Linked DNA regions of Ovis aries. The protein of the gene in region 1 interacts with the protein of each later gene in a biochemical or structural test. Links are inferred from orthologs where the notes say so. Each region holds a gene or a part of one and is shown in the gene's direction. Other genes may lie near its edges. The genes, in order: ITPR1 and CABP1.

The links.
Region 2: the proteins of ITPR1 (region 1) and CABP1 form a complex in vitro, tested with the Homo sapiens proteins (2 studies listed by BioGRID). The link is inferred for Ovis aries from reciprocal best matches to the Homo sapiens genes ITPR1 and CABP1.

Annotation. Positions count from the first base shown.
Region 1 is NC_056072.1:21,688,627-21,692,445, reverse strand, and holds part of ITPR1 (inositol 1,4,5-trisphosphate receptor type 1), read left to right. Parts: coding exon 1-104; intron 105-2,740; coding exon 2,741-2,913; intron 2,914-3,819. UniProt on the Homo sapiens protein: Inositol 1,4,5-trisphosphate-gated calcium channel that, upon inositol 1,4,5-trisphosphate binding, mediates calcium release from the endoplasmic reticulum (ER).
Region 2 is NC_056070.1:63,045,061-63,048,879, forward strand, and holds part of CABP1 (calcium-binding protein 1), read left to right. Parts: coding exon 1-106; intron 107-2,236; coding exon 2,237-2,346; intron 2,347-2,574; coding exon 2,575-2,722; intron 2,723-3,819. UniProt on the Homo sapiens protein: Modulates calcium-dependent activity of inositol 1,4,5-triphosphate receptors (ITPRs). Inhibits agonist-induced intracellular calcium signaling.

The DNA of each region.
Region 1 (3,819 bases):
GTCTGGAGGAGCTGGGAGACCAGCGGCACGCGCCCTTCCGACACATCTGCCGCCTTTGCTACCGGGTCCTGAGACACTCCCAGCAGGACTACAGGAAGAACCAGGTGGGCTCTGAGGACCCTGGGGAGTGCCAGACAGCTTCCTCCCTCGAGTTCACTTTCCTCCATGAGTTTTAAGTGTCCCATGTATATATTTATTTAGTGGCTAGAGTCTAGTTCATTGTTCAATTTGCTCTTCAATAGGAAACAGGTATTTTTGCAAGCCTGGGAAGATGCATGAGTGAGTTGAGAAGGATACATCAAAATTCTCCTACAGCATCCTTGGAATGAGATTTTTTTTTTTAATGTTGATATTACAAGTATAGTATTTTTTAAAACTTTTTATTTTATATTGGATTATAGCTGATTAACAGTGTAGGGATAGTTTCAGGTGGGCAGCAAAGGGACTCAGCCATACATGACATATATACATTCTCCCCTAAACTCCCTTCCCATCCAGGCTGCCACATAACATTGAGCAGAATTCCCTGTGTTATACAGTAGGTCCTTGTTGGCTATCCATTTTAAATATAGCAGTGTGTACGTGTACAGTATTTCTTATGGCACATTTCTGGAAGGTGTAAGGGTGCAATGGTTCCATGTGCTTTTATTAGAAATGGAATGAAATCTTTTCTTCCTGCCCCATCCATTCCCTCCATCTCTGCTGGTAGCTTCCTCTTTGTTTTGGTTCTGGCTCGTATTTTAGACATTCTAAGTCATCATCTATTGTCATCACAAGTAAACACACAAACACAAACAATATAGTCTCTCTACGAGGTAAATATTTAAACCTCTGTGATGGTTCCAAACAACTGGAGATGCTGAGGAATCACTGTGTTAGTGGTTGTTAACTGGGAGCAATTTCACCACCCACCCCCACCCTGCCCTGGGGCAGGAGGACGTGTGGAAATGTCTGGAGATGCTATTGAGTGTCACAACTTGGGAATACTACTGGCATGAAGTGGATGGAGGCCACGGATGCTATTTAGCATCTGGGCAAGCCCAGCCCAGTCCCCCCACCCCCAACAAAGAATTATCCGGTCCAAGAAGTCAGTAGGTACTGCTGAGTTCAAGAAACCCTGTGTTCCATAAACTACTATAAGTGCACAGTGATGCTTCTTATAATATGGACTCCAGTCCCTGCAGTGTGTTACAAAAGATTTTGTTTTTAAGCTTTGACCGCCGCTATATCTGGCCTTTAAATGTAAACTGTTCTCTGTAGTGAATGTTTTTTGTGTATCATCACACAGCGTTGGTCCTAAGCAGTGCTCTGAAGTATTAGATACAACTTTATTAGCAAGTATTGGGCTGGCCAAAAAGTTTGAGTTCTCCACAAGATGTTATGAAACACCTGAACAAACTTTCGGCCAACCCAGTATTGCTAAATCATTCGCTTTGCCTTTGCTACTGTTTAGATACAAAGCATCACACACTGGTGATGCTGTGTTCATTCGTTAGCATAGGTTGCCGTCGGGCACTATGGTCGGTTTAAACCCCTCTTGTGTGTGAGTACCATACTTACACCATACTTGTGCTAAAGAGGTTTTATTCTCTTCCCATGAGGATGCGTCAGAGTCTGTAATGTGTGCCGGGACCTTTTGCTTGCACATCAGAGGACTAGACCCGTCCTTCTTGTTGCTGTTGCTATGGGTGTCTTGGCTTGGTTGTTTATGGACCCTGTGCCTTTTGGCAGTAGTACTGACATATCCCTGGGGGCTGATGAATTCTCAGACATGCATCCTTACTGAGTGAGGGCTGAAAAGTGGCCCAAGTCCACTCTGTTAGTCCTTAGTCACTTTTAAGATTTTGAAATTAATGAATTAAAATGAAACCAAGTTTCAAGGGCCTTTTGAGCTTTGAGCAAGCAGTCTGTCTTGGACAGGGAAAATATCTTTGAATAACAAAAGTATTTATAAGAGGCTTCCTGGCCTTCTGAAATATTTCAATGGGACATCATATCTGATCTCAAAAGAGAAGTCAGAGATGTTTCCATGTGTTCTGTGAATGTAATTGACTGGTTTACATATTCCTGGGCTTCCCTGGTGGTTCATCTGGTAAAAAATCTCCCTGCAATGTGGGAGACCTGGATTCAATCCCTGAATTGGGAGATTTCCCTGGAGAAGGAACAGCTACCCACTCTAGTATCCTGGCCTAGAAAATTCCATGGACTGTATAGTCCAAGGAGTCACAAAGAGTTCAACTCAACTGAGTGACTTTCATTTCACTTCTTCACATGTTTACAACTACCCACTGACTTTAATTTTCATCCCGGATAAGGAAAACACAATGGAGTAATAACATTGTTCAAAATATCCAGGTAGACTTCACCATGTTTATTCAGCAGCACAGGGCAGTGAGGCACAGTTTAATCCTCTTGAATGAGTAATAAAATCAGAGCTGGAAAACAACTCTTGACCTTTAGAAAAATAAGTCACCACATTAAAATGTATACTGTGGACTTAAGAAAATGCCCATCTATAAATACAGGATATGTTACTTAGTGATACCTGTGTGGCAGGTTTAGTAAACTAAAGGATGTGAGAGAGTCTGCGGCTGTCTCCCTGGGTTGGGAAGTTGGGGAAGGACACTCCCCTGTGATTTTCCTTACAGGGAGTAGCTCTCCTGGGGGCTGCTGCCCCTTCCCTTACTCTGCGCCTCACCACACTGTCCTCCTTGCTTACCTCTCTCTCCTCGCTTCGAAGGAGTACATAGCCAAGCAGTTCGGCTTCATGCAGAAGCAGATTGGCTATGACGTGCTGGCTGAAGACACTATCACCGCCCTTCTGCACAATAATCGCAAACTCCTGGAAAAACACATCACCGCGGCAGAGATTGACACCTTCGTCAGCCTGGTGCGGAAGAACAGGGAGCCCAGGTGAGGCGGAGGTGGGGTTGATCGGCAGGAGGTGCCTCTGTGTTTACGATGCAGTCTCTGAGCTGGTCATGGTGGGTTGTTCTGTTCTGTTCTAACTAGATGTCGTTTGTTTGGGCCTGCTAGGCCCCGGGTCTTGATTGAGCAGGTCTTGAGAGGCGCTTTGAGTCGTGAAAAGAGCGTGGTATGGAAAGGAGACCAGGGTAGAATCCTGGCTCCGCAGTTTACCAGGTGGTGACCTGGAGCTTTAATCTCATCTATCAGATAAGCTGTTATAAAAATTAAATGAAGATAAATACATGTGAAGTGCCTGGCACTTTGTAAGTGATAGCTGTCGACCCCTCATTCACTTTGTAGCACCCTGCTATGACCAGTCAGAACGTCCCCAAATATCAGTAAGTCTTTTGCACACATAGTTATTACCTGAGTGTTTGTATTTACAGTAGTGAATTCTGTCAATTCTATTGCATTCTTACAGATCCCACCCTCCCTGTATACTTTCTTCTCTCTTTTCTTGTTTTAATTAAGATCCACCCCATGTCAGGGGATGTGGGAACTAGTTTACAATGTGGATATTAGAAACAGTGATGATAGAGAGCTGAAGGTGTTATTATGAAACTGACTCCTCCCACCTATTAAAAACAACTAACATCTTATGGACCCTCTCGTGTGCCAGGGACTGAACTGAGTAAGCACTTTACATGAATTAGTTCATTTAATCCTCAGAAGAGCCCTCTGGGGTTAAAGGTTATCCATTTTTATCGATGAGAAAACTGAAACATGGTTAGGTTAAATAATTTCCCCCAAATAACAGTACATGTCAGAATGTAGCGGAGAAGAACCAGAACCAGGATTCTGATTTAGGCCTCAAACATCAGACCTCTCCCCTCTCTGGGTACCCAGCATCAT
Region 2 (3,819 bases), on another chromosome or scaffold:
GATGGCTACATCAACTGCCGGGACCTGGGTAACTGTATGCGCACCATGGGCTACATGCCCACCGAGATGGAGCTCATCGAGCTGTCTCAGCAGATCAACATGAACCGTGAGTCCCGCTGCCAGGCACCCCGTTCCCTCCCCGGCCTCGCCCTCGCTGTCCTCTGCCGGGGTTCAAGTTCTGAGCTCCCCCTTCTTCCTAGCTCTGTGACCTGCAGGCAAACCGCTTACCCTCCCTGTACCTCAGTTTCTTCACCTGTAAAATGAGGGGTGGAATGGGGAGTTAACTGGGGGTATGTTTGCTTATTTATTTATTATTTTTCTTGGCTTATTTATTCATTTATTTTTGGAGGAAACAGCTTTATTGAGATATAATTCATATATCATACAGGTGACTCACTTAAAGCATTCCCTTCAGGGACTTCTGTGGTGGTCCAGTGGTTAGGACTCTTATCCACACTGCAGGGGGCATGGGTTTGATCCCTGGTTGGGGAATTAAAGGATAAAATTCAGTGTCTTTTAGTATATTCAGAGTTGCGCAACCATCACCCCAATCAACTTTAAAATATTTTCATGCCCCCTCCACCAAAGAAGTCCTATACCACTTTGCCATCACCCCCAAGTCCCTCCCCAGCCCTGGACAACCACTAATCTACATTTTGTCTAAGCAGATTTGCCTATTCTGGGCATTTCTTTTTCTTTTTTTTTTTGAGTTGAAGTATCTTTGTTTGGAGAAGGAAATGGCAACCCACTCCAGTACTCTTGCCTGGAAAATCCCATGGATGGAAGAGCCTGGTAGGCTACAGCCTGTGGGGTCGCAAAGAGTCAGACACGACTGAACGACTTCACCTTCACCTTATGGTTGATTTATAGTATGATATTCGTTTCAGGTGTACAACATAGGGATTCAAAGTTTTTACAGATTAGACTGTATTTAAAGTTATTGTAAAATGTTGGCTTTGTTCCCTGTGCTGCACAATATATCCCCGTGGCTTTTTGATTTTACACAGAGTAGCTGACGTCTCTTAATCCCCAGCCTCTATGTTGCCCTTCCCCCAACCCCCCTTCTCCTCACTGGTGACTGCTGGTTTGTTTTCTGTATCCGTGAGCCTGTTTCTCTTTAGGGGACATATTTTATTTTTTTTAATTAATTAATTTATTTTGGCTGTGTTGGGTCTTTGTTGCTACGCGCGGACTCTCTCCAGTTGCCTTTAGCAGGGGCTACTTTCTGGTTACGATGTGTGGGCTTCCCATCGCGGTGGCTTCTCTTGTGCAGAGCATGGGCTCTAGAGCGCGAGCTTCAGCAGCTGTGGTGCACGGGCTCAGTGGCCCCATGGCAGATGGGACCTTCCCAGACCAGGGATCGTGTCCCCTGTATTGGCCGGCGGGACTCCCAACCACTGGACCACCAGGAAAGAAGTCCCTAGACACTGTTGGGCTGTAATATTCTGAACAGCCCAATAATCGATACCTAGCAGTCAGTAAGAGTTGACCAGAGGACACTATCATTATTATGTTTTTCTCTGTCTCCCTTTGGGTCCTCCCAGGAGCAGACCAGGAGACAAGGGTTTGAGTGTGGAGTTTACTTAGAAGGGGAAGGACAGAGTCTATAGAGATTAGGGAGGCAGGAGGGTGAAGACAGGGCGCCAAGGGAGAAGGCACTCAAGGAGCTGCCACTGTGGGTGATGGAGCTCAGGGTGCTGGTGTCGAAGGCCCACCATGGAGCTATCTCTCGGGCTGGGTATTTATCCCCCAAGCTCAGTCACTGGCTGAAAGTGTTGTGAGCAGGCCCCGGGGGCAGGTCTCCTGTATTTCCACCCTCTGAAGGCTGGTTGGAAGGTGAGTTCCACTTGCACAGTGAGGGAGAGAGGGGGGCAAGTGGGCACGCGGGCCAGGCGCTCACGACTCCTGCTCCCATCTCTGCCTTTCTGCATGTTTGTCTCTGTCTCTCTCCTGCTCTGAAATTCTTTGCCTATCTCTGTGACCTCATGTTTCTTTCTCCCCTGTGTACGCCTGTCCAGTTCCTGACTTGTTCCCTTAGTTAGCCCCCGGCTGCTCCTCTGAGCTCTTTTGTGATAACCCCCCTGTCTGTGGTCTCTTCTCTGTCCTCATTTGGCCTCTGCTTTTACCCTGGGCCTGCCGCTGGGAAGGTCAGGGGAGGGCTGACAGCTTCCCCGGTTGTCTAGTTGGAGGTGGGTGGTGGTTAGATGGATGACCCAGCCTGTTCCTCTGTCCCCAGTGGGTGGCCACGTGGATTTTGATGACTTTGTGGAGCTAATGGGACCTAAACTCCTGGCGGAAACAGCAGATATGATTGGAGTAAAGGAACTGCGAGATGCTTTCCGAGAGGTAAGTGGTGGACAGCGGACAGGCAGGAGCGGGGGGACTTGTTAGAATTCCCAACCTGAAAGGAAACTGGACCTCTGGATCCCACCCCACGGGAAGAAGCTTGGACAGAGAGGCGCTCTGGGGAAGGGGTAGGGGGACAATGATGCTGAAGAAGGGGTTCAACCTTGGGATCTGCTTCTGACAGTCTTCCTGTTGCAGCTACTCTTTCCTCCTCCGTGCCCTCTCTAGTTTGACACCAACGGTGATGGGGAGATAAGCACCAGTGAGTTACGAGAGGCCATGAGGAAACTCCTGGGTCATCAGGTGGGACACCGAGACATAGAAGAGATTATCCGGGATGTGGACCTCAATGGGGATGGACGAGTGGACTTTGAAGGTAGGCGGGTCTTGAGAGTGGAAGAAGAACCAAGACAGGAGTGGGCATCCACAGAGAGCATCCCTCCACATGTGGGTCCACCATGCGGTCATCAACCCGCCCCAACTTGCCATCCCCTTACCCTTCCATCCTTCCGCCCCCCTAATCCATCGTCTGTTCCTACACCCACTCATCCATCCATCTTTCCAGACCTCTCTTTCCATGTGTTCATCCATCTGTCTCTTTTTCTGTCCAGGTGCCTATTTATCCGCTAACGGATCTCCAGATCATTTTCCATAGAATCGTTTACCTATGGCCTTACCTACCCATCCAGGCATCTATTCATTCTGAACATTCACCCGTGCCTCCATCTACCCGTATACCCCCTCCCATCTATCCATGCATCTGCAGCTCTCAACCTTCATTCACACATTTATTCTCTACCCATCCGCCTGTATCTCCACCCGTACTTCCATGGATCTGTCAGCTGTGTGCACAGTCCTTTCCCCATCTGTATCCATCTAGTCATCCATCTATCCACTCCTGTCCCTCTGCCCCCACCCACCGTGTTCCATGTCTATTGGTCCACCTTCCCCTGTATCCATCCATGGAGGTATTTTCTGAGCACCACATTCCTCAACTTGACACTCGAACCCCTTAACATCTATCCACGACTCGCCTCTCTGGCCACGGCTTTCGCCATTCCTTCACTCACACGCCGCCTTAAAACCCCAGGTGATCCAAAAGCCTGCAAAGCTCTCATTTGATTACACTATTCTTTTTGTCAGGATGCCTGTATTCTATTCTTCCCTGGCGTTAAAGCCTATTCCATCTTTAAGACCCAGCAGTGGGGCCACTTCCCTCGGTCCCCAGACTGAGCTTCCTCTTTTCTGGGCTTTCAGAGCACCTCAGGCTTACCCTCGTTCTTCACACCGGCCCCTAAGTGCTAGTTATATCTCCACTGAATTCTGAACTTTCGGAGAAAAGAGGAACCCTACTTTCTTTATCTCTGAGATTCTCACAGAACTCAGTACCTGACAGATAGCGAATGCTCAGTAAAAGTGTTTTTAAAATAGTAATAATCATAATTAGTGATCATCTCTAACTGCACATGCTCT